4 linked regions of the Arabidopsis thaliana genome follow. The protein of the gene in region 1 interacts with the protein of each later gene in a pairwise test. Each region holds a gene or a part of one and is shown in the gene's direction. Other genes may lie near its edges.

Evidence for each region.
Region 2: the proteins of PHV (region 1) and HAT1 interact in binary tests that used the Arabidopsis thaliana proteins (3 or more experiments, as listed by UniProt).
Region 3: the proteins of PHV (region 1) and TCP5 interact in binary tests that used the Arabidopsis thaliana proteins (3 or more experiments, as listed by UniProt).
Region 4: the proteins of PHV (region 1) and BIM1 interact in binary tests that used the Arabidopsis thaliana proteins (3 or more experiments, as listed by UniProt).

Annotation. Positions count from the first base shown.
Region 1 is NC_003070.9:10,795,549-10,803,317, reverse strand, and holds PHV (Homeobox-leucine zipper family protein / lipid-binding START domain-containing protein), read left to right. Parts: upstream 1-2,224; 5' UTR 2,225-2,573; coding exon 2,574-2,794; intron 2,795-3,305; coding exon 3,306-3,465; intron 3,466-3,595; coding exon 3,596-3,711; intron 3,712-3,792; coding exon 3,793-3,883; intron 3,884-3,978; coding exon 3,979-4,074; intron 4,075-4,160; coding exon 4,161-4,274; intron 4,275-4,350; coding exon 4,351-4,434; intron 4,435-4,512; coding exon 4,513-4,668; intron 4,669-4,754; coding exon 4,755-4,829; intron 4,830-4,903; coding exon 4,904-5,010; intron 5,011-5,082; coding exon 5,083-5,272; intron 5,273-5,364; coding exon 5,365-5,553; intron 5,554-5,636; coding exon 5,637-5,717; intron 5,718-5,803; coding exon 5,804-5,944; intron 5,945-6,032; coding exon 6,033-6,322; intron 6,323-6,420; coding exon 6,421-6,538; intron 6,539-6,621; coding exon 6,622-6,771; intron 6,772-6,843; coding exon 6,844-6,990; 3' UTR 6,991-7,194; downstream 7,195-7,769. UniProt on the Arabidopsis thaliana protein: Probable transcription factor involved in the determination of adaxial-abaxial polarity in ovule primordium. Specifies adaxial leaf fates. Binds to the DNA sequence 5'-GTAAT[GC]ATTAC-3'.
Region 2 is NC_003075.7:9,737,466-9,742,045, forward strand, and holds HAT1 (Homeobox-leucine zipper protein 4 (HB-4) / HD-ZIP protein), read left to right. Parts: upstream 1-2,052; 5' UTR 2,053-2,396; coding exon 2,397-2,544; intron 2,545-2,631; coding exon 2,632-2,960; intron 2,961-3,045; coding exon 3,046-3,125; intron 3,126-3,226; coding exon 3,227-3,518; 3' UTR 3,519-3,769; downstream 3,770-4,580. UniProt on the Arabidopsis thaliana protein: Probable transcription factor.
Region 3 is NC_003076.8:24,534,787-24,539,632, reverse strand, and holds TCP5 (TEOSINTE BRANCHED 1, cycloidea and PCF transcription factor 5), read left to right. Parts: upstream 1-2,388; 5' UTR 2,389-2,695; intron 2,696-2,925; 5' UTR 2,926-2,980; coding exon 2,981-4,063; 3' UTR 4,064-4,296; downstream 4,297-4,846.
Region 4 is NC_003076.8:2,605,123-2,611,976, reverse strand, and holds BIM1 (basic helix-loop-helix (bHLH) DNA-binding superfamily protein), read left to right. Parts: upstream 1-1,726; 5' UTR 1,727-1,882; exon of another isoform or gene 1,883-2,062; 5' UTR 2,063-2,405; coding exon 2,406-2,442; intron 2,443-2,573; coding exon 2,574-2,675; intron 2,676-3,091; coding exon 3,092-3,493; intron 3,494-3,594; coding exon 3,595-3,697; intron 3,698-3,781; coding exon 3,782-3,918; intron 3,919-4,003; coding exon 4,004-4,118; intron 4,119-4,215; coding exon 4,216-4,285; intron 4,286-4,382; coding exon 4,383-4,478; intron 4,479-4,589; coding exon 4,590-4,927; intron 4,928-5,028; coding exon 5,029-5,140; intron 5,141-5,232; coding exon 5,233-5,322; 3' UTR 5,323-5,959; downstream 5,960-6,854. UniProt on the Arabidopsis thaliana protein: Positive brassinosteroid-signaling protein. Transcription factor that bind specifically to the DNA sequence 5'-CANNTG-3'(E box). Can bind individually to the promoter as a homodimer or synergistically as a heterodimer with BZR2/BES1.

The DNA of each region.
Region 1 (7,769 bases):
AACTTTGGCCAGATCCATTTTTAAACCCTGAACTATATTTTTAGTAAAACAAACCCTGAACTAAAACCTGTTAATAAACTTAACCCCACAGTAATTAAATATTAATGGGATATTAATTTCCAAAAATCGACCAAAGAACAATGACAGAATCCGTGATCCAACTGAAGATCGTCCACCTCAAAAAGTTCTTTATACACGTGAAAAAGTTCAAATGGTAAAATAGAAAACAATGAATTATGTTTCACAAGATCTTCCTTTTCAAATTATTTAATTTAATCTTTGCATATTTAGACTTGTAGCAACTATCAACAAGTCGGACACAACAAACGTTCATGCAAGCGTAAAGCAGTGCCAAAACCACCCAAGAAACCTCAAAGACGACCAAGGAAAAAACAGAAAACAATGGATGAAGAGAACCCTATCACTCAGCCAATACAATCTTCTCTTCAAAGTTAATGCTTGACAAGTCTTTACTTTAGAATATCTTGTCCCTCTGAAACGATTGTTTTTTTTGTGACAAATATTGTTGTGTTGCAACAGCTTCGATAGTTATGTTGGTTGGATTTATTTAAGTATGACTCTTTGGATTATTTTAAGTTGTTGTGTCTTTCTTTCAGCTTCTAAAATCCAAACTAATTAAGCAATTCAAAATCATTTAGAACGTTTTTTTGTAATAAATTCAAAATAGTTTTAAAGAACATCATGTGGTTTTTGCGCTAAATACAAATGTCTCGTTGTTTTTTTTTTTAGAAATTAATATCCCATTAATAATTAATTACTGTGGAGTTAAGTTTATTAACAGGTTTTAGTTCAGGGTTTGTTTTACTAAAAACATAGTTTAGGGTTTAAAATGGATCTGGCCAAAGTTAAGGGTTTTTTTCATTAAATTCCCTAATTTATATTCAAAACTTTCAAAACAAGTTAAAGGAAATAAAACCAATTAAGGTTAACCAAAAAAAACAACAGATTTCACGCATCTCACGCGCATAGTGACATTGTACATACTTGTCATGCATCGTCTCTTCCACATGGATACAAAAGATAGGCATACAACAACACCATCATCATGAAAATATGTACATGCACATACATACATACATACAACGTCTTAGGACTAGAGAGCAAAGAGGGTAGGGAAAATTTGATGCTATGTTTGGGTAGGCCACTGTCACAGAGCTTAAAGAGAAGTGCTTTCTTTCCCTAAGTTAGCAAATTACCCCATTTTGTCAAAATTCCGTTTCTTCTGACAACAACACTTACGTTTTACGAATATAAATAGTTGTAGCATGATTTATTTTTGTTACCAATAGATAAACATATTTATTCTTATCGATTGCCATTAGGACTAGGGATTCTGATAATAATTGATATGTCTTAAAATTTGCAGAGACAACAACTTTGCGTGTTGGTTTTCTCATCTGTTTGTGTTTAGCCTTAGTCTGAAATCTGAATGCATTTAAGTTTTTCAAAACTAATCACTTTCAATCCTTTTTAATTGTCAACATCTACTTGTCCTTTTAATCTAATCCAAGAATATTGAATACAGAAACATGTTTACACAAAGAAAATTAGGTGGTAATGATATGAATTAGAGAAGTGTAATCAAGATTCCATCTCATATTAAACCTATTTAAAAGAGTTGTAAGAAAAAATAATAAAACAAGTAATTATTTACTTATAACTATGCATCAAATATTACGAAACTTTTAAAATGAATTGTTAATCTAATTCAATCAATATTATAATTATCTATTTAACTAATAATATTTATATGGTGGCAACCAAAGAATATATATGGGTCCAACTGGTAATTTAGATGAATTGTAAAATTTTTCGGAATAGTTGCAAACTATAAAAAAGAGTTGTACGAGAAAGTTGTATAATAAAATTGAGAATAAAACTTTTTATAACGTTTTTGATAAAGATTTTATAAATGATAACTGTCAAAGTTGTACAAACTCTACCGCTTTGATAATGAGTTATCAAAGACATAAACTTTTATCCTAGTTAATCATTTTAACTTTTAGAATTTAAGCTTTGAATTAAAATTCAAGCTTAGCTTTGTATAAGAAAAAGTTTAAATATTTTTACTTTGCCTTAACAGTAAAAAGCTTTTAACCAAAAACATTGAATTCAACCTACTCTCCCAAAAATTTCACCTTTAATTTTTTTTGAAAACAATATTTACCAGTTTAGTGCATCTTGTTGGGTTGTTCCTTGTCCTTTCTCTCTCAGAAAGATCTTTACTTTTACTTTTTCAGTATTTTCCTCTCTCTTCTCTCTCTTCTCTCTCTTCTCTCTACTTAGCTGCCTCGCTTTTGCTCCTTTTACCTCTTTCCATCTTTCAATCTCCTTTGAGAGAGAGAGCAAATGAAAAAAACCCAAAAAACTCTTTTCTCCAACCATTACCATCTCATGAACACTCTCACAGGAGGCTCTCTCTTCTCAGAGAGCCTACCCATCTAATATTTCTTCATCTGAGTCTCTTTTACTTCTCTCAAAGTATCGATCTTTATTCTTCTTTTTGTAAACCCTCTCTCTCTCTCTGATTTCTACTGACCTGTTTGGAAGATATGATGGCTCATCACTCCATGGACGATAGAGACTCTCCTGATAAAGGATTTGATTCCGGCAAGTACGTTAGATACACGCCGGAACAAGTTGAAGCTCTTGAGAGAGTTTATGCTGAGTGTCCTAAACCTAGCTCTCTGAGAAGACAACAGCTTATTCGTGAATGTCCCATTCTCTGTAACATCGAGCCTCGACAGATCAAAGTTTGGTTCCAGAATCGCAGGTTATTATTTCTTTATTAATTGTCTTTAATGGAATGTTTTTTGTGTTCTTTGATTGTTTCTGTAATTATAAAATTGAATTTCTTTTGTTTGTATTTGGAGACAAAAATGTTCTTGTCTGACAATGTTTTTGGTAATCTTCTTGTTTTTGGTCTAATTGGTGATTGTTAAGCTTTTGAAACTTTCAGATCTATGTCTATAAATTTGTTTTTCTCTTTTTGCTTATTAGGCTTTTGTTGACACAGTTGAAAGTTAAAATCACAAGGAAAAGTGACAGCTAATCAAACTGTCTTTGATGAGCTTTAAAACGCCTCTCTCTTTTTTTCCTTCTGCAGAGAATATGTTGGAAATTACATTATCTTTTGTTCTTTATGTCATTCTGGTATCATTCTAAAGCAAAAAAGTGTGTGTTTCTTCTGTTCATTTTTCTATTATTTCAACACATTTATCATACTGCTATAGGTTTGTCTTTAACTTTTCTGGTTTCTTTTGGTTGTTTTGTTGACTTTTTAGATGTCGAGAGAAGCAGAGGAAAGAGTCAGCTCGTCTTCAGACAGTGAACAGGAAGCTGAGTGCTATGAACAAGCTTTTGATGGAAGAGAATGATCGTTTGCAGAAGCAAGTCTCCAACTTGGTTTATGAGAATGGATTCATGAAACATCGAATCCACACTGTAAGTCCTTGAATCCCTTTTGCTAAATGCATTGTTGAGTTGTTATCTTTGATGCTTGTATATGTATTTGTTCTTTAAGAGTTCTCTGTTGTTAGAGAGTGACTGGTGAAATCTCTGTGTTGTGTCTTAGGCTTCTGGGACGACCACAGACAACAGCTGTGAGTCTGTGGTCGTGAGTGGTCAGCAACGTCAGCAGCAAAACCCAACACATCAGCATCCTCAGCGTGATGTTAACAACCCAGCTAAGTAAGGAAGGCTCTTTTTTTGTTTGTGAATTTCTCATTGTGACATTATGAGAAGAGACTAAATGGAGTGTTTTTTTGGTAGTCTTCTCTCGATTGCGGAGGAGACCTTGGCGGAGTTCCTTTGCAAGGCTACAGGAACTGCTGTCGACTGGGTCCAGATGATTGGGATGAAGGTAGATAAGTTGAAGTATTTTAACGTTTTCATATGTGGAAATGAAGTGGTTTTTAGAAAATGTTTTAATATGTATTTTCATGGTTATGTATGTAGCCTGGTCCGGATTCTATTGGTATCGTAGCTGTTTCACGCAACTGCAGTGGAATAGCAGCACGTGCCTGTGGCCTCGTGAGTTTAGAACCCATGAAGGTAATGGTGTTTTCTTTTTATTTTAATCTTGTGTTGTAAGAAGCGGAAATTCTACGAAGGCAATCTAAACTTCAAATACTGTGTAGGTCGCTGAAATCCTCAAAGATCGTCCATCTTGGTTCCGTGACTGTCGATGTGTCGAGACTCTGAATGTTATACCCACTGGAAATGGTGGTACTATCGAGCTTGTCAACACTCAGGTCTGTTTCATAAATCCATGAGTGTTGTTTTTGTTCCTTTAAAATGTAATGATCATTATTCATGGTTGGTTATCAGATTTATGCTCCTACAACATTAGCAGCAGCTCGTGACTTTTGGACGCTGAGATATAGTACAAGTCTAGAAGATGGAAGCTATGTGGTGGGTATTAGGACCTGGTTTTGTTCATCTATGATTCTATTTATTAGATTTGCCTTATATTTGCTTTTTTGCCTTCAGGTCTGTGAGAGATCACTCACTTCTGCAACTGGTGGCCCCAATGGTCCACTTTCTTCAAGCTTCGTGAGAGCCAAAATGCTGTCAAGCGGGTTTCTTATCCGTCCTTGTGATGGTGGTGGTTCCATTATTCACATCGTTGATCATGTGGACTTGGATGTAAGCATATTGGATTTGTAATAGCACATTAGGTTTCGTAAAAGCCTTCTATTTATGTTGATTGATACGTTTTTTTGGTTTGGTAGGTCTCAAGTGTTCCTGAAGTCCTCAGGCCTCTTTATGAGTCTTCCAAAATCCTTGCTCAAAAAATGACTGTCGCTGTAAGTTCCATATAAACCTTATCCACCCGTGACCTGATTAGGCTCTCTTTATGAGTTTTACTTCCACATTTCAGGCTCTGAGACATGTGCGCCAAATTGCTCAAGAGACTAGTGGAGAAGTCCAGTATAGTGGTGGACGCCAGCCTGCAGTTTTAAGGACTTTCAGCCAGAGACTCTGCCGGTAATACATTTCCTTGATAAGCTTAGTTTTATTTTCTAAAGCATTGTTCTAATTGCTTTTCTTGAAATTCAGGGGTTTCAATGATGCTGTAAATGGTTTTGTCGATGATGGATGGTCTCCAATGAGTAGTGATGGAGGAGAGGATATTACGATCATGATTAACTCTTCCTCTGCTAAATTTGCTGGCTCCCAATACGGTAGCTCATTTCTTCCAAGTTTTGGAAGTGGTGTCCTCTGTGCCAAAGCTTCTATGCTGTTGCAGGTGCCTATATCATGTTTTGACACTTGTGAATAGACAAAAGAACCGGTTTCTTCAATTTCTGACATCATTCTCTTTTTTATCTGCTCTTGAAGAATGTTCCACCCCTTGTATTGATTCGGTTCCTGAGAGAACACCGAGCTGAATGGGCAGACTATGGTGTCGATGCCTATTCTGCTGCATCTCTCAGAGCAACTCCATATGCTGTTCCATGCGTCAGAACCGGTGGGTTCCCGAGTAACCAAGTCATTCTTCCTCTCGCACAGACACTCGAACATGAAGAGGTACAAAGAATCTCAAGAACATTTTCCTTGTTGTCTATTCTTTTGCCATGCCTATAATCCTATTTTGCTTACTTGTTTCTCAGTTTCTCGAAGTGGTTAGACTTGGAGGTCATGCTTACTCACCTGAAGACATGGGCTTATCCCGGGATATGTATTTACTGCAGGTTTGCTTTATACTAAAGACACTCAGGGATTCTTAAAGATGAGTTATTGAAATTGAATTCTTGGTTTCTTTTTTGCTTTTGTCCAGCTTTGTAGCGGCGTTGATGAAAATGTGGTTGGAGGTTGTGCTCAGCTTGTCTTTGCCCCAATCGATGAATCATTTGCTGATGATGCACCTTTGCTTCCTTCTGGTTTCCGTGTCATACCACTCGACCAAAAAACAAATCCGGTAAAAAGAAAACTGTTTATGATAAGAAATTTGATATCTTGAAATTGACACAGTCCTTTTTCTTTTATTCCTGTATGTAACGTTACAGAATGATCATCAATCTGCAAGTCGAACACGGGATCTAGCATCGTCCCTAGATGGTTCCACCAAAACCGATTCGGAAACAAACTCTAGATTGGTCTTAACAATAGCCTTCCAGTTCACGTTTGATAACCATTCCAGAGACAATGTTGCTACAATGGCGAGACAGTATGTGAGGAACGTTGTTGGTTCGATTCAGAGAGTGGCTCTAGCCATTACGCCTCGTCCTGGCTCAATGCAACTTCCCACTTCCCCTGAAGCTCTCACTCTTGTCCGTTGGATCACCCGTAGTTACAGGTACTCTTCTTAGAACCTTAATCTAAAGACTTGTAACAATATAGAATGTGCTTATCTCATTTAATAACTCAATAAAATGTTTTTCTCCGATGTTTTAGTATTCATACAGGTGCAGATCTGTTTGGAGCTGATTCTCAGTCCTGTGGAGGAGACACATTGCTTAAGCAACTCTGGGACCATAGTGATGCCATATTGTGCTGCTCCCTGAAAACTAATGTAAGAATTCTGTTTTTTTAAGAGGTGCTCAATCTAGTTTATGGTTCGGTTTGGGAATTGTCTGATTATTTTTTGGTTCTCAGGCCTCACCGGTATTCACATTTGCAAACCAAGCTGGTTTAGACATGCTTGAAACTACACTTGTGGCACTTCAGGATATAATGCTCGACAAAACACTTGATGACTCTGGTCGTAGAGCTCTTTGCTCCGAGTTCGCCAAGATCATGCAGCAGGTTAAACATTTTCTAGCTAGTCTTTTAAGTCTTTCCCTGGAAAATACTAAGTTTGGATTGAATCTTCTTCAGGGATATGCGAATCTTCCGGCAGGAATATGTGTGTCGAGCATGGGCAGACCGGTTTCGTATGAGCAAGCGACGGTGTGGAAAGTTGTTGATGACAACGAATCAAACCACTGCTTGGCTTTTACCCTCGTTAGTTGGTCGTTTGTTTGATGAAGGAAAAGGTTGGTTATGTTAGATATTAAAAGTTAGGGGATGTTGTTTTTGGCTAAGGTTTGTTGAATTAGAGAGTCCATAACTCTATATGTAATATGGAAAAATTCTGATGATAATCTCTTTAATCAATTATGACATTATGTATGGCAAGATATTTATTTTTATTTATGTTTTGGACTTGTTTCGTTTTTCTTCATCTTCCTTTTACGAAATTTGATATATATATATATATATATATATATATATATATATATATATAGATAGATATAAGATGAATTATTATTAGTAATCTTATAAGTTTTTATCATGTGTTAATGTACAAATATAAACACAAAGATTGGCCTCAAAAGCATGTCGAATAAACTAAATTAATCATCATAGTTTTTGGCAAAAAACGTTTAATGGACTTGGTAGCTCATATGTAACATGAAAAATGTATGCGGAGTTTAGGTTGTATGCATAAATAATAATCATCCAAAAGATTAGATTTGAATGAATCTTTGACATTAAATGATCAATAATCATTACTAGTATTTATCTATTAAATTGAAATAGTATCTATCACAAGAAAACTAGTCATGATGATGCTGTTCTTTGACTTCTAGGCTGGAGGAACCTATAAACTTTTCTTTTGGGTAGTCTAGTTAGTAATGGAAGTTGATAAATAGCTTTTCTTTTGGACAGAAACCTACAAAACTCTTATGGAAGTTTTATACCGACCAAAAATATGGAAGTTTTATTTATGTACAATCTCTTTTTATCATTTTTCAGCATAA
Region 2 (4,580 bases), on another chromosome or scaffold:
TGAGAAATCGATGAGAAATCAGAGAAGTAAGAGCAGAAATTGCTCTGATACCATAATAGGAACCATGCTCGAGAGAGAAAACATGGTGAAAGCTCAATTTCTCATTAATAATCTTGAAAGTTTGTTACAATGTTGTATAGACAACAAACCAACTAAACCAATAATAAACCAGAGATTCACCTTAATTAGATGAATAAACCGGGACTATACCGAACCCTTAATCACTGCTATTATATACAAGTATAGACTAAATATATATAAGCTAATAGGGGTCTTGAATTTCTCGTCTCAACCTAAGGGGGATCTACGAGCTTTTGGGTCTCGAATTTCTTCTAATCAAAAAACGAAGTAGAAATATATATATTCAATAACAATTTTTTGGTTCGTTTTGTCGTGAGTATTCAAATCCATTAACATTTTCAAATAGAGCTTCTAAATAGATATTTCATGTTTTCGTTTAGAACGCATAATACACTACTAGTTTGAAAAAAAAAATACTTACTAGAAAGATGAATTATTAGTTCATTATATACGGCATATAATTCGAATGTACTATGTTTAACTATTTTTAATTTCGAGTACAGTTAGATCATTAATGAGAAGGAGTTATTTCATTTGAAATCATGCGTATAATGATTACAACGAAGCGAAAATGATGAAGGCGCGTGGTAGGCAATGATAAGATGTCGGCGCGTGAGGAAACAAAATAAAACGCACGGCCGGGTCGAGTGTTTTCGGGTCCCTTGTTGTCACGTGACATGACCCACCTGCCCATGTTCTCTCTTGAGCCCAAAACTATTTGAGACATTTTTTAATCATCTTTCGGCAGTTTTAATTTACTTCTTCTTTTTTTTTTTTGTCAACAATAAAGCAAAATGATTCTGATTAGCAGCACTCAGAATATATCTGATTATAGAACACGATCTGAATACTTAAAAATTCTACAAAATTGATGATAAGGGAAGTATGATGATCTATAATAGTTGAAAGTTTAAGAACATGAAATGAAAATAGAGAAACAGTCAGTGAATATTGGATTCATATGTAATACATATGGGTGTTAGTGTAATGATAGATCCCACATCCCACATGGATATGATTGGATCACAACAGGTGACTGGCCCACAACTTTGAATGAGCTCAGATTCATGTGGATTGTGTTTTGTACCAACCACTTGATTTAGTCCTTTTTTTTTCTTCATTATTTCAACAATTAATTGCCAACTATTTCTTCGATATCTGTTCTCATCCGTGTGTGATCTTGACTGATTGAGTTGTTTTTTTTTTCTTTACAAAGGTCACAAGTTCTTGCACCAATGATTGGAAAAATTTGAGGGTTAAATAAAAATGAAAAGAGAAAATGAACTGAAATATTTACTACCACTTTTAGGTGGAGTAAAAAACTAAAGATGTTCACGTTTATTTCTTTACAGTAGAGTAAATATTTTGTAGCATAACTATTAGATTGGCAATTATTCAACTTACCGTAAATACTAAATAAAATTCACTCTAGTAAGCTCATCCAATAACATCTTTATTTTTTTTTTTTGACATGGTCAAAAAGATTAGCAAGTTACAACTCTTAATAATAATTCTATTAATTTTTTTTTTAATAAAGAACTAATGTCTATATATCTCGAAATGATATCAAATTGGCGCAATAATAAAATTCCTCGGATACTATTAAATCAGAAGCTAAGGCTGCTTATATCTAATATATGCAAGACATAACATGAGTCACTTCATATATATGTGAAGGTATATAATTAAAACTTAGAATCATTATTTAGTTGATTAGGCATATAATTTGATGTACTTATTGTCGCTAAATAAATGTCATAATGGATTTGCACCGCATATTATAGAGTTTCTCTTTTCCTAGTCCAAATTTGCAAGAAATAAAGTAGAGATGGAAAATATGAATTTGCATTTTAAATTTACTTTGGATTCCATACATATATAGAAGTACTTTGAGGTTATGGAAAAAGATAGCAAAAGATAGGACTTACTATACAATTTACTAAAATAGTAAAAGAAGAAGAAGGAAAAGATAAAGAAAAAAAAAAAAGAGAAAGGAGAAGACAAAGAGGGAACAAGTTGGGGATATAATAATTGAGTTTCAAAAGGGCATTAATAGATTATAATTGGCCAACCTGACAACATCTCATATCATTCACTTCCTATATTAATCCTCTCTTTCTCTTTTCATTTCCCATTTCACATCTCTCTCTCTCTATAAGAACCCTAGAAGAAGGTTTCTCTTGTCCTCCATACACTTAGCACAACTGATAAATCTTTTGAGGTAAAATCAGCTTTAGATCAAGGTTTTTCTAGTCATCTCTACTCATAAAGATCAAAGCTTTTGCTATTCTCATTTTCTACCAAGAGACAATATCATGATGATGGGTAAAGAGGATTTGGGTTTAAGTCTTAGCTTGGGATTTGCACAAAACCATCCTCTCCAGCTAAATCTTAAACCCACTTCTTCACCAATGTCCAATCTCCAGATGTTTCCATGGAACCAAACCCTTGTTTCTTCCTCAGGTAAGCTTCTTCTTCAACAAAGTCTTGATAACCTTTTTCCACAAGGAAACAACACAGATCCTGAAATAACCCTTTTTCATTTTTCAGATCAACAAAAGCAACAGTTTCTTAGGAAAATCGACGTGAACAGCTTGCCAACAACGGTGGATTTGGAAGAGGAGACAGGAGTTTCGTCTCCAAACAGTACGATCTCGAGCACAGTGAGTGGAAAGAGGAGGAGTACTGAAAGAGAAGGTACCTCCGGTGGTGGTTGCGGAGATGACCTTGACATCACTCTAGATAGATCTTCCTCACGTGGAACCTCCGATGAAGAGGAAGATTACGGAGGTGAGACTTGTAGGAAGAAGCTTAGACTATCCAAAGATCAATCCGCAGTTCTCGAAGACACTTTCAAAGAGCACAATACTCTCAATCCCGTTAGTCATTCATCCATCTCTCGGAGCGTGAAAGTATTATTGTAAATACTCTGTTTTTAACAAGGGCTTTATTGTAAAACTACAGAAACAGAAGCTGGCTTTGGCTAAGAAGCTAGGTTTAACAGCAAGACAAGTGGAAGTGTGGTTCCAAAACAGAAGAGCAAGGTGAGAGAACTAGAGTGCTCATTATTTTTACATATTAGTTGACCATTTTGCCCCTAAAGAGCAATGTTATTTACAATACAACCCATTTTTGTGCCTAATAGGACAAAGTTAAAGCAGACCGAAGTGGATTGCGAGTATTTGAAAAGATGTGTTGAGAAATTAACGGAAGAGAATCGGCGGCTCGAGAAAGAGGCAGCGGAACTAAGAGCATTAAAGCTTTCACCGCGGTTGTATGGTCAGATGAGTCCACCGACCACACTTTTGATGTGTCCATCGTGTGAACGTGTGGCCGGACCATCCTCATCTAACCACAACCAGCGATCTGTCTCATTGAGTCCATGGCTCCAAATGGCCCATGGGTCAACCTTTGATGTGATGCGTCCTAGGTCTTAACTTTAATGCTGCTTCTATGGGTTGTGTGTGGGTCATTGTACTTTTTAGATTATTGACTCTCAGCTAATGTATCCTTAAAAGCCTTTTTCTACTTTTAAATTTACTTTAATCTAATTAAATTAGTTATTCTTGTCTTCTTGATAACAAACAAATTTATAATAATAAAAAAAAAAACAGGATAAAAAAGAACAGTTTTTCTTTTATTTTTTTTTGATAAACCCAGCTCTTCTTAACCAATAACCATTATACATTCTTGACATAATCATGAAGCCATCTTCATTTTACGTTGACATGATCTTTGTATATGCGACCAGGTTAAGTGCCTCATGAGAAAAGCATAAGTTTTTCTATTTTCAAATTTTTCGAGATCTTTTTCATACCCTTCTTTTTTCTTTTACATAAAAATGATATCTCTAATCATCTAAATACTCTAATAGTTTTTTTCATAAACAAAAGTTGAACCGTCAGGTTATTGAAATTTAGACGGTTTGATATTTCTTCCTACCTAGACAAATCCTAAAGGGACCCAGGAATTGTAGTAAGCGAGCGAGAATCTTGATTTTTTAGAATGCTACAATCTTACTGGGTAATAACTCTTAACAGTGTGCAATTAATGGGCCGAATTTACCGGCCCAAATTATGGTGGTGGTTGTCGTCGTCTATTTCACCAGAGAAAGTGAGAAACACATGCATATTTGATCACACCAGCAACTGACCCCATTTTGTCAGTACTTGGTGAAAGTGAAAGTACTGAAAGCAATTTCTTCTCACACAAGTGATGAACATCAAGCTCTTGGGATTATCCTTGCAATCTTTGCTTACAAGTAACGAATGGGGGTCTCAATGAAACCAAACTCTTCACCTTAGCAGGAAAATATCGAAAAAATGTGTTACAACGTAAGCAAGCAACACTGAGTTATGACTTTTCTTTTGCCAATAAATTGAAAGTGTGGATATACAAGTAGACTACTTGCAAAAAATACACTTACATGCACAACCAAGAACATCATTAATTTGATCATGTAATGTGATCAGAACATTACATGATCAAATTAATGAGAT
Region 3 (4,846 bases), on another chromosome or scaffold:
TCGTTAATATTCAATTTAAATTCCGCTGTAAGAAAGAGAAATCGTAATTATGTTGAAGAAAAGTATAGGACATGTAAACATTCTTAAAATTAGGACGTAATTAATCTACAGCGTGAGCCGTGAGTTAGGGCTTCTATTGCCTAGCTAGATCTATTTAGGAAAAACAACCTGGTTATTCATTTTTTATATTTTTTTAAGCAGATGGAGAACTTATTTGAACAGACTGAAATTTCAATTTGGCAGAGTTTTGAAATAAATTCAGCCTAAAGTCAGAAGTGTCGAACATATACATACATGTTACATGTATACAAACATACAATTTTAACGTATTTGGTATTTTCTGTACAACTAATGATCACAAGATCCTATATATATATGATCCAAAAGTCGGAGGAAATTAAGCCAAGAAGCTCAAGTCACGTCGTCGTCGTCGTCATCATCATCCATCCCTATATATGATTCGGTTGTTTTTTTGTCAACATGATGATTAAGTTAAATTATGTGTATATATATAAAAGGCAGGAACAATTTAATTGTATTCACATAATTCGTTGCCAAATCCTGTCATACATTCCCAAAATTCCCTAAAATATGATCTTGTTAATAGTTTCTAGCTTATTCCTTAAGCTTGAATTTACGTTAAATCAATTTTGAAAGAAATTAAGGTTTTGGCTTTGACAGACGTTACCAACCAAGCAATGACTAAAGGCGGCTTTGGTAGTGGGCTGCTTTAGACGACGGGTAGGTTTGGCAAGCTTCTTTGTTGGGACAAAAAAATTGTTGTGATAAATTTCACCACAAGTTTTATGAACATACATCATAATTAATATTGTTGCAGCATATATTAGTTAGACCAATATACCACTGACACCATCTATATAAAAGTTAGTACATGTCTATCACAGTACCAAAAAAATGAAATGTACAAGTCTATCTCGCTCTAAGAATAATTTGTGTTTAAAATATACCACCATATCCGGAAAGATCCTTGGAAATGCCTTTAATGAAGGCTTCCAATCGCCTTCTTAAAATAATCTGTGACATTGTGTTGTGATCATCTTAAAATGCCTTAAAATTGTGTTGGATAATCTACGGAACCGATGTGGAAAAAGAAATCCATGGAACCTTTGATTTGAGATGAACAGTTACCACAATTTATATGATCATTAAAATTATACGATATATAAGTGGTTCATATTTATTTAATATTTTCCCCATATTTAAGTGAGGACCAAAAAACTGATACAAAACTTTTTCTTGCAAAATTACAAATGTAACTTTGTTACAGTCAATTTCATCTCAAGATTACATAATCAAAACCAGAGTTCTTAATTTGAAACCGTACAGTACTATATATGCAGTAACTCAATATTCTTCGTAAACAACCAGTGTGGGTTAAAGGCGCGGTCAATTACAGAAGACTTTATATATAGTAGTGATCAAGTTGGATACAAAGAGGAAAGAAAATGGTTTGTGATTGTGGGCAAAAATCTCAGTGGCAAAGACACTTAGAAGAGAAGTGGACCACAAATCTCTTTGTGAGTATTTAGGCATTAGATGCTTTAAAGAAAAACCTATACTCGTTGGTCCATTCTCTATCTCAGAGACAGACCCTTACCTCCTCTAGCTGTCAATCTCTATTATATTTACTTATATATGTTGATATTAAAACAAAAAATTTATATATATGGATATTTTCTATATATGCTTAAAAATATAACCCACAAGTAGTTAATTAGAAATAAAAGCAGTATTCCCAACAGTTTGATTTTAACAAGTCTACATTTCATTATCACTAAATTTAGGGTTTCAACAAGTTGCTTCGTTAATAATGAAATTCAACAATTTATCTACAAATAAAACTTTTCATTTTCCAAAACGACAGAAACTCAAATGAAATGAGCGACGACTGTAAATAAATTGGTCTTTCCATTTGTTTATATTATGAATTTTTTTGAATTTACTAAAATTTGGTTTCATAAAACTTTCAAACTCGATCTTGTATATATATATGTTTCACAGTTCAAAGTTCAAACCACTTTTACCATTATTAATTTACTATACATGTACTATATTTTTTTTTCACTTTAAAAGCTCTTGTTACCATTTATAACTATTAATTTGTCAACCGTACACTTTCTCTTAAATGACCTTAACCGTATGTTTATATTTTTGTTTAAGATAAGAAGACAACATAGATCACAAACTTGGGTAAAAATTAAATCATATAAAATTCAAAATGAATGTCTAACACCAAGGAAAGGGAACCAAAACTTGAATACTAAAATATATTAAAATTTATTGTAAAGGTTTTTTTTTTGTCAACTATTGTAAAGTTTTATATATATAAGATTTATGTGACTGTGAGTGTAACGAAACATGCACATTCCCATCACAGTATCAATACACTACATAAATTGCTCCTCTTTTGTCCTTCTGCATAAATTCCTTTCATACCGAAAAAAAAAAGCCCTAGGGATCGGAATATAATACTTAAAAATATATCTAATTCATTTATTATTTAACTTCCCCAATCATTATAATATACATATGTAATTCTAGTTTCCAAAAAAAGAAATACTACACATTCCTCTGCCTCCTTATCTCTTTCTTATTCTTCTTCTTCCTCCTTCTTCTACTTCTCTATCAAGCTGGATCTTGAAATAGGACTCAAGCTTACCAGTATTCAATCAACGTAAGAACATATAACCTTCAACATGTTTGAATTTCAAATTCTTATGAGCTTTCTTTTCTTTGATGCAAACTCAAGAAAGAGATATTATTGCTTTGTTTTCATGTGAATCTCGCTCCAAAAACATATTTAAAATCAACAATTTCATTCAATTGAAAGCTAACAACAACTAATTCTTGTCTTCTTGATTTATTTTCTATTAAATTGGTCAATTTATTCCCTTCTTGTTTCAGATCTGTTCTTTACACCAAATTGAGTACTGAAGATCTTGTTGAGTGAATTAAAGAGATGAGATCAGGAGAATGTGATGAAGAGGAGATTCAAGCAAAGCAAGAAAGAGATCAAAATCAAAATCATCAAGTAAACTTAAACCACATGTTGCAACAACAACAGCCGAGTTCGGTATCATCTTCAAGGCAATGGACTTCAGCTTTTAGGAATCCAAGAATCGTTCGAGTCTCAAGAACATTCGGTGGCAAAGACAGACACAGCAAAGTATGTACAGTCCGTGGTCTTCGAGACCGGAGGATAAGGTTGTCCGTACCTACAGCTATTCAACTCTACGACCTTCAAGATCGATTAGGGCTGAGTCAGCCAAGCAAAGTCATTGATTGGTTACTCGAAGCAGCAAAAGATGACGTAGACAAGCTACCTCCTCTACAATTCCCACATGGATTTAACCAGATGTATCCAAATCTCATCTTCGGAAACTCCGGGTTTGGAGAATCTCCATCTTCAACTACATCAACAACGTTTCCAGGAACCAATCTCGGGTTCTTGGAAAATTGGGATCTTGGTGGTTCTTCAAGAACAAGAGCAAGATTAACCGATACAACTACGACCCAAAGAGAAAGTTTTGATCTTGATAAAGGAAAATGGATCAAAAACGACGAGAATAGTAATCAAGATCATCAAGGGTTTAACACCAATCATCAACAACAATTTCCTCTGACCAATCCGTACAACAACACTTCAGCTTATTACAACCTTGGACATCTTCAACAATCGTTAGACCAATCTGGTAATAACGTTACTGTCGCAATATCTAATGTTGCTGCTAATAATAACAATAATCTCAATTTGCATCCTCCTTCCTCGTCTGCCGGAGATGGATCTCAGCTTTTTTTCGGTCCTACTCCTCCGGCAATGAGCTCTCTATTCCCGACATACCCTTCGTTTCTTGGAGCTTCTCATCATCATCATGTCGTCGATGGAGCCGGTCATCTTCAGCTCTTTAGCTCGAATTCAAATACCGCATCGCAGCAACACATGATGCCGGGTAATACGAGTTTGATTAGACCATTTCATCATTTGATGAGCTCGAATCATGATACGGATCATCATAGTAGCGATAATGAATCAGATTCTTGAATGATTTTATATATCTACACTATACATTGAAAATGTTATATGTATACGTATTCTTCTATATTTTGATATATATGCGTATTGTTGGATTGGTTTATGTATCTTCTTCGTGTATGTATACACTTTTTAATAGTCTCGGATTTAGATTCGAACAAAGACATTCATAATGCGAGGATGGTTGTTATTTCTATATATGTTTTAGTTTTGAAGGTAGTTTTTGCTTCCTTAAGAAATTATATGAATTCTACTTGAATGTCTTTCTCTATTCATTTATGAATATATACACTCGAATAAATGAATTGTACAATATAGGTATCTCATAACTAGCTAGCACTTTCATCCTAATCCATAATCTAGATTAGTTAATCATATTTCATATGTTAGGATTTAGGTTTTACATATATGGAATTTTTTATTGTTATCACGAATGTGAGAAAGTGAATAAAAACGCAAAGAACAATAATACTTTTCAAAATAGGATGGAGGAAAAACAGATTCAGAAAAAGAAAAAGAAAAAAAGAGTATTAACATAACCCTAATTCAACTTTAAACCAAATAGGTCCATCGAAACCCATATGCTATTCTACCATCGTATGACCAGATTCAAAGCATTTCACCAATCACCATTATATATATATATATAGGCATCACAATGTTGCTAAGAAAAAACATTATGTAATTTTTTTAATCAAAATATGATATGATCTATCTTAATCATCATTATGCAATGATTACATAGTCAGGACTTGAATTGGATATAATCGTATCTACAAATTAATTTTGATA
Region 4 (6,854 bases), on another chromosome or scaffold:
ATATGCTTCTTCTTATTTTGTTAACTAACTCAAGTTGAATGATTATTTATTGATTGAATTACGTAAGACGGGAAGAACATGATGTGCCCAACCGAACCACGAATGGTTAAGGATAGGTCGGTTTGTGGCATATCAATAAACAGTTTATGAGACTGAATGGAAACCTTCTTTCTTCGATCGACTAAAACCCTTAGCCTTCCAAGTTTCTAGTCAAGAAGTATTGTTACTAAATTGCCCTTGATGTTAATGTTTTCGAAAATCTATTTATGTTTCTACAGTGTTTCTCTCACGTGAGTTGCAGAGTCAGTTCACGTGGTCCCACTACATCATGAAAACGACGTCACACTAACCTCTTATTCGCCTTTCACTTGAATTGACCATTTCGTTTTTATTTACTTTCCTTGATTTCTTTCTTTCTTCTCATCTAAACGTGTAAAAATCTTAACAATTCCATTTGCTTTTTTGTTTTTGATTTTAATGTATCTAACCAATTACTTGTGCTCTAGAGAAACCGAATCTCGAATAACAATAATACATTTCATCAAAGAACCACGAGATTGCGAGTGATTTTAAATCAATATAATACAATTCATGGGGTTAATATAAAATACAGAGAATAAAGCGTGTTTAAGCACAACCTAACAACTCACGAGACAAAGTGGAAGGCATGTGGGGATGTGTAATTGTTTTTGCTCTTTCCCTATTTTGTACAATTTTTCACTTCATGTGATCCAACACTATTTAGCTATAGTTCCTTTCTCACTATCATCTCCATCTCTGTTTTCAATTTATTATTTCTATCTTCAGATTAAACTCATGACTACTGGAAAGATGTAGTACTCAGAAACTAACTAGATTGTAAGCATTAGGGGAGGGCAATAAATATTACTCGTAAGTAAATTTAATTCTTAACTACTGAAAATCTTAAGTAATTTAATCAAGTATATACGTACTTGCAAAAACTTGAAAGCCATAACTATTTTCGCTTGAATACAAATGGACTAAAGATATTTTATCATTTTATTTTTGGTTTTAAGAGATGACTTTTTTCGAATATATAATTCAAATTATATACAGTACTAGACATATGTTAGTTTAGTAAATGCTAACAAGACTTTTAAAATAAGTACTGTAATTTGTAAGTCGTCTATTTGGTTTACTTATAAGTTAGTGATTTTGTAACAAGTGGCATTCAACTAAATATAAAAATGCGCTTAGCTCACATGATCAGGTTCTTAACTATGGGTTTTAGACAATTTGTTAAAGGCGGAAGAGCTGTCTTTGTTCCACCTAATGTCACATACATTACATATATCTCCACTCACACAAATACATAGACGCATACACGTACGAACAAAATCATACTTGTCCCCCTATATTCCATCATCTATAGCAGAATTTCTACTACTAAATTTACTATTAAATTGGTAATTGTTTGCAGCCAAGCCTAGCTATCAATTAGTAGTACGTATCTTTGTCAAACTTACCAATTACCTTCCAATTTACCAATTAAACAAGTCGTCTAGTTATGCGCATTCAGTACACACGAACATAGACCACGTAATACAGTGGTCTGATTACATTATTTACATGGAGGTTTTTATAAGCATGATTTTCTAAACGGAGACACAAAATCTTCTTTATTTTATTTTTCCTTTTCGCACTGTTCATTTAGGTTTGGTGGTATTAGGCTATAGAAGAATGTACGATGACTTGAATATCAGATACATGAGATTCTTAATTAATCATACATATCTTACCATTTTAATTAGTTAACTGATTTCCTTTTGATTGCATTTACTTCGACGCATGATAGTAGTCGGCGTAATTTCAACAGTACCTTGACACGCCAAAAGCTTCACGTAATTTGCTGTCGAAGAAGGTACGCTTCTTAGCTCAAATCTAATCCATTCGTGTTCTTTAGAGATTTGACTTGGATTCTAGTTTTTGTATCTCCATGTTCATTGGTTGACTTGAATTATGCGAAATTGAGTTGGTTTGAGCTATGAATTCCGCTGAATTATGGTTATTCTCTTGAATTTCTACCCAATTCTGATGACAGATCTATCGATTCCACGAATTTGGTGACTTCTGCCGATTCTCCCGTTTGAATTCTGTGGAATTCGCTGAGAAAAGTTGCGGCGGAGGCTGATTTAGGTTAAATCGAGCAGAATTTGACCAAATTCGAGGATTTTTATCGGTAAAAAGATACAGAGAAAGCATAATTCAGCAACTTCAGAGCTCAATTCCGCTTCTTCAACCATCGAAAACCACAATATCTCTTGAATCAGCTGCTACAAGTCGCAGATCTGAGCTGCTAGCCAATTTTTGCGATAATTCCCGCGCACAGATTAGTAATAGAATAATTTAAAAAGAATTCAAAAACCGTCGAAGCTCTGTCGTTCATGGAGCTTCCTCAACCTCGTCCCTTCAAAACCCAAGGTAAACACCATTATCAGATATTATTGTTACCAATTCCTTTATTTTATTTTAAAACAGAGTGTTTAGTTTCTACAAGATTCATAATTTTAAATTTATGTATTTTTTTGAATTTTGATATATATATTAAGAAGAATTTCGCACAGGGAGAAAACCAACACATGATTTTTTATCGCTCTGCAGTCATTCAACCGTCCACCCAGATCCAAAGCCAACACCACCACCTTCTTCTCAAGGTATTTTTTTTTACCATTTTACCCTTTTTTCTTCTTTAAGATTCTCTTAAAAGGGGTCACGTTTTTTTCGCGCGTGCATCTGATCTGACTTTAAGACGAATCATGGATCAAAATGTTGCTATTTTGTTGGGTCCTAATGGGCCCATCTGTGTTTAAAGCCCATGGAATTTTGGGACCGTTTTTTTCTTTCTTTTTCGTCTACACATGTCGTTAAACCTTGCCTTCGATTAAATAAATATCTTTCAACCCTCATGATGTTGATCCCTAGAATTGCATCACATAAATAACAAAATGTTGTTAATTACTATAAGCGTTTAAATGCATACAACTTGATGTATAAGAAAATGTGTATTATCTAGGGATTTACTTCTCTAACATATAGTTTATGTTTTTAATTTTGATGGTACGTGAAGCAGGTAGTCACTTGAAAACCCATGATTTTCTTCAACCGTTAGAATGTGTTGGTGCTAAAGAAGACGTAAGTAGGATTAACTCTACCACTACAGCGTCCGAGAAGCCACCGCCCCCTGCTCCACCTCCACCGTTGCAGCACGTGCTTCCCGGTGGTATAGGGACTTATACGATTAGCCCCATTCCTTACTTCCATCATCATCATCAGAGAATTCCTAAGCCGGAGTTGTCACCACCAATGATGTTCAATGCTAATGAGAGAAACGTTTTGGATGAGAATTCTAACTCTAATTGCAGCTCGTACGCCGCTGCATCAAGCGGGTTCACTCTGTGGGATGAATCTGCTTCTGGGAAGAAGGGACAGACAAGGAAGGAGAATAGTGTTGGGGAGAGAGTAAACATGAGAGGTAACAAGAAAACTTGAATCGTGATGTTTATTTAGACTAGTTTTAAAGTAGTATTTAGAAATCAATGGAATGATGAAATATAAGTTTTTTTGAATGTGTAGCTGATGTTGCAGCAACTGTGGGACAATGGCCAGTGGCGGAGAGACGGTCCCAGTCTTTGACAAACAACCATATGAGCGGTTTCAGTTCTCTCTCTTCCTCTCAGTTAGTCTCATATCTTCTCTTTTTTATATAACTCGGTCTATGGACTTTAAAGAGTGATCAACTAAAGTTTTACTTTGGTTGCAGAGGGTCTGTGCTTAAGAGCCAGAGCTTCATGGACATGATAAGGTCAGCAAAAGGAAGTTCACAGGAAGATGATTTAGATGATGAAGAAGATTTTATCATGAAGAAAGAAAGCTCCTCGACTAGCCAGAGCCATAGAGGTTTGTATTGTCCGAGATTCCACCTATATGATATCTAAAGTCTAAACAGTAACAGCTTAGGATCTGATTGATTGCTTCTTTACAGTGGATTTGAGGGTAAAAGCAGATGTGAGAGGCTCTCCTAACGATCAAAAGCTGAACACACCTAGGTCTAAACATTCTGCTACAGAGCAACGGAGAAGGAGCAAGATCAATGATAGGTAAGTCCTGAATATGTAGCAAAAGCCACCAGAATTGGTTATATAGCTTAGCAGAGTGGAGATACTAATCAAACATTGTTAATGGATCCCTCTGCAGATTTCAGATGTTGAGACAACTAATACCTAACAGCGACCAAAAGCGGGATAAGGCCTCCTTCTTACTAGAGGTATAACTATACTCTTTTGGCCGAAAATTTTGTGACAGTAAGATTCAATCACATCTGCTCCTAATCTCCAATTTTTTTTTTTGACAACTTCATACAGGTTATCGAGTATATTCAATTCTTACAAGAGAAAGCAGACAAGTATGTGACCTCTTACCAAGGATGGAATCACGAACCTGCGAAGCTATTGAATTGGGTAAATATAATCTCACATTTTCCGACCATACTTCATTTTTATTCCCCGGGTTGGAAACTGAAAACAAACAAACCATGTAATGTTAACCCGTGTGATCCATTTACATTATAGCAGAGTAACAACAACCAACAGCTAGTACCTGAAGGAGTTGCTTTTGCTCCAAAATTGGAAGAAGAGAAAAACAACATTCCGGTTTCGGTCCTTGCAACTGCACAAGGTGTTGTTATTGATCATCCAACAACCGCGACGACCTCTCCATTTCCATTGTCGATTCAAAGCAACAGTTTTTTCTCTCCTGTGATTGCGGGTAATCCCGTACCCCAGTTCCACGCAAGAGTCGCATCATCAGAGGCTGTAGAGCCAAGTCCGAGTTCCCGGAGTCAAAAAGAAGAAGAAGATGAGGAAGTTCTTGAGGGTAACATCAGAATTTCAAGTGTTTACTCACAAGGGTAAAACTAAAAAACTCTCTTTTGAATTTTGATCTTGCAACAGTTAAGTAAAAGTAAAAAATTATTAACCTTTTATACATTTACTTTTGTGTGTGGAGCAGATTAGTGAAAACACTGAGAGAAGCATTGGAGAATTCAGGAGTGGACTTAACGAAAGCAAGCATCTCCGTTGAAATCGAGCTCGCTAAACAATCCTCGTCTTCTTCCTTCAAGGTATCTTTTTCTTTACTTACGTTTGATTCAATTCAAACACATTTTCATGAGTTGGATCTTGATAGTTTATAGTTTTGTTCACATCTCGATAGGATCATGAAGTTCGTGAACCGGTTTCTCGAACCAGAAACGACAATGTCAAGCAAACTCGGAAACCAAAACGGCTCAAGACGGGACAGTAGAAGTTATAAAAACAAAACCCAAACACACAATCCGGTAAAAGTTAAACACCAAAATTGATTCCTCTGTTTTTTTCTTTAAATCATTTTATCTCAAAAAGGGATTATAATTTATTATTATAGTTATATCTTTGATTTTTTTCTTTTGTACATCCGAAATCCTGTTATATATATCTCGTGGGTCCATAATCGTATGAGACCTAAGAAGACTAGGGCGACCCGGTTATGCTAACCGCATTTTAGAACATACTCTTTTGAGGAATATATCGTTAAGGAAGGCTTTCAAAGTTTTCTGGAAGCGTCCAGTGTTAAGTGAAAACATTTTTCACTCTCTTATATACTTGATCATCTCACACTTTTTATATTTGTTTCTTCCTCTTACTTTGTTCTATGGTTTTCAATGTAATACTAGATATCTTTTATGTATTTGACTAAACCAAAGCGCATGAACGATTTTGAAAAAGAAAAAGAGAAACACACTTAATTATAATGCCAATCAAAAGCCTGTATGACCCAACTCTCTAGGACAAAGTCTGGAGCACGGCAAAAAGATTAAATCAAGTGTACTTTAGCAACAAGAGCTATCTTGTACTATTATTTATGCAATGTTGTTAGCAAAATAATCAAATGTTATGTGGGGTATTATAAGATATGCCATTGAAAAATATATCAACTAGCATTTAATTACTTTTATTTAAAATGATGAAAATCATATCTTCTATATATTCAACTTCAATACTTGATTTTCCAAACTATTGAAGTAAACGAGATCCCATATATAATGGGATAAAACAACAAACATCAATTACGTTCTTTTAACCATAATTTATATCCATAAACAACAAACCGCCTGTATTTCCTCGGACACGAAGAGGATTTGACACGGGAAGCTTCGTCTTCTCCCTCCTCGTCGTCGCCTCCAAAACTCAGGAGTTTCTTCTTCAGAGACGCGGTGGTAGCATCTTTTACCGTGGAGTTTCGTCGCCGTCGTTGTCTTTATCAATTATGATCTTTCTCGAACTAGAGCTTTTACAGTTAGGGTTTGAAACTTTGACTGGAATTAGAGCAAACTTTGGTCGTGATTGTAGTATTTTTTTAGTTTGGAATGTTGTTTATTATACTAGATATTAATCTGCAGTATACCGCGGACCTATATTTTTATTAAATAAAAAATAATTGAATAATTTTTAGGATGATTTAATAAATTTATGTTATTGTTTGATTTAAATGTATAATTCACCGCGAGACGAAATTTTATAACTCAAATTTTAAAGTTTTAAATTATATTTGTTTATTTTGTTAAATGTTTAATATTGTATAATTGTATATTGATTGTTGTTTCTCAGATTTCACCCGTAGTACACCATCCCATATTAATATCGAATCAAACCCGTCAATTCTAGGATTTCACCCGTGGTAGTATTTAATTGTATAATTATATTTTAATTGTCATCGTAGGATTTCACTCCTAATTCTATCGCAAATTATTATCAACCCAAACCAGTCAATTCTAAAATATCACCCGTAGTACACCA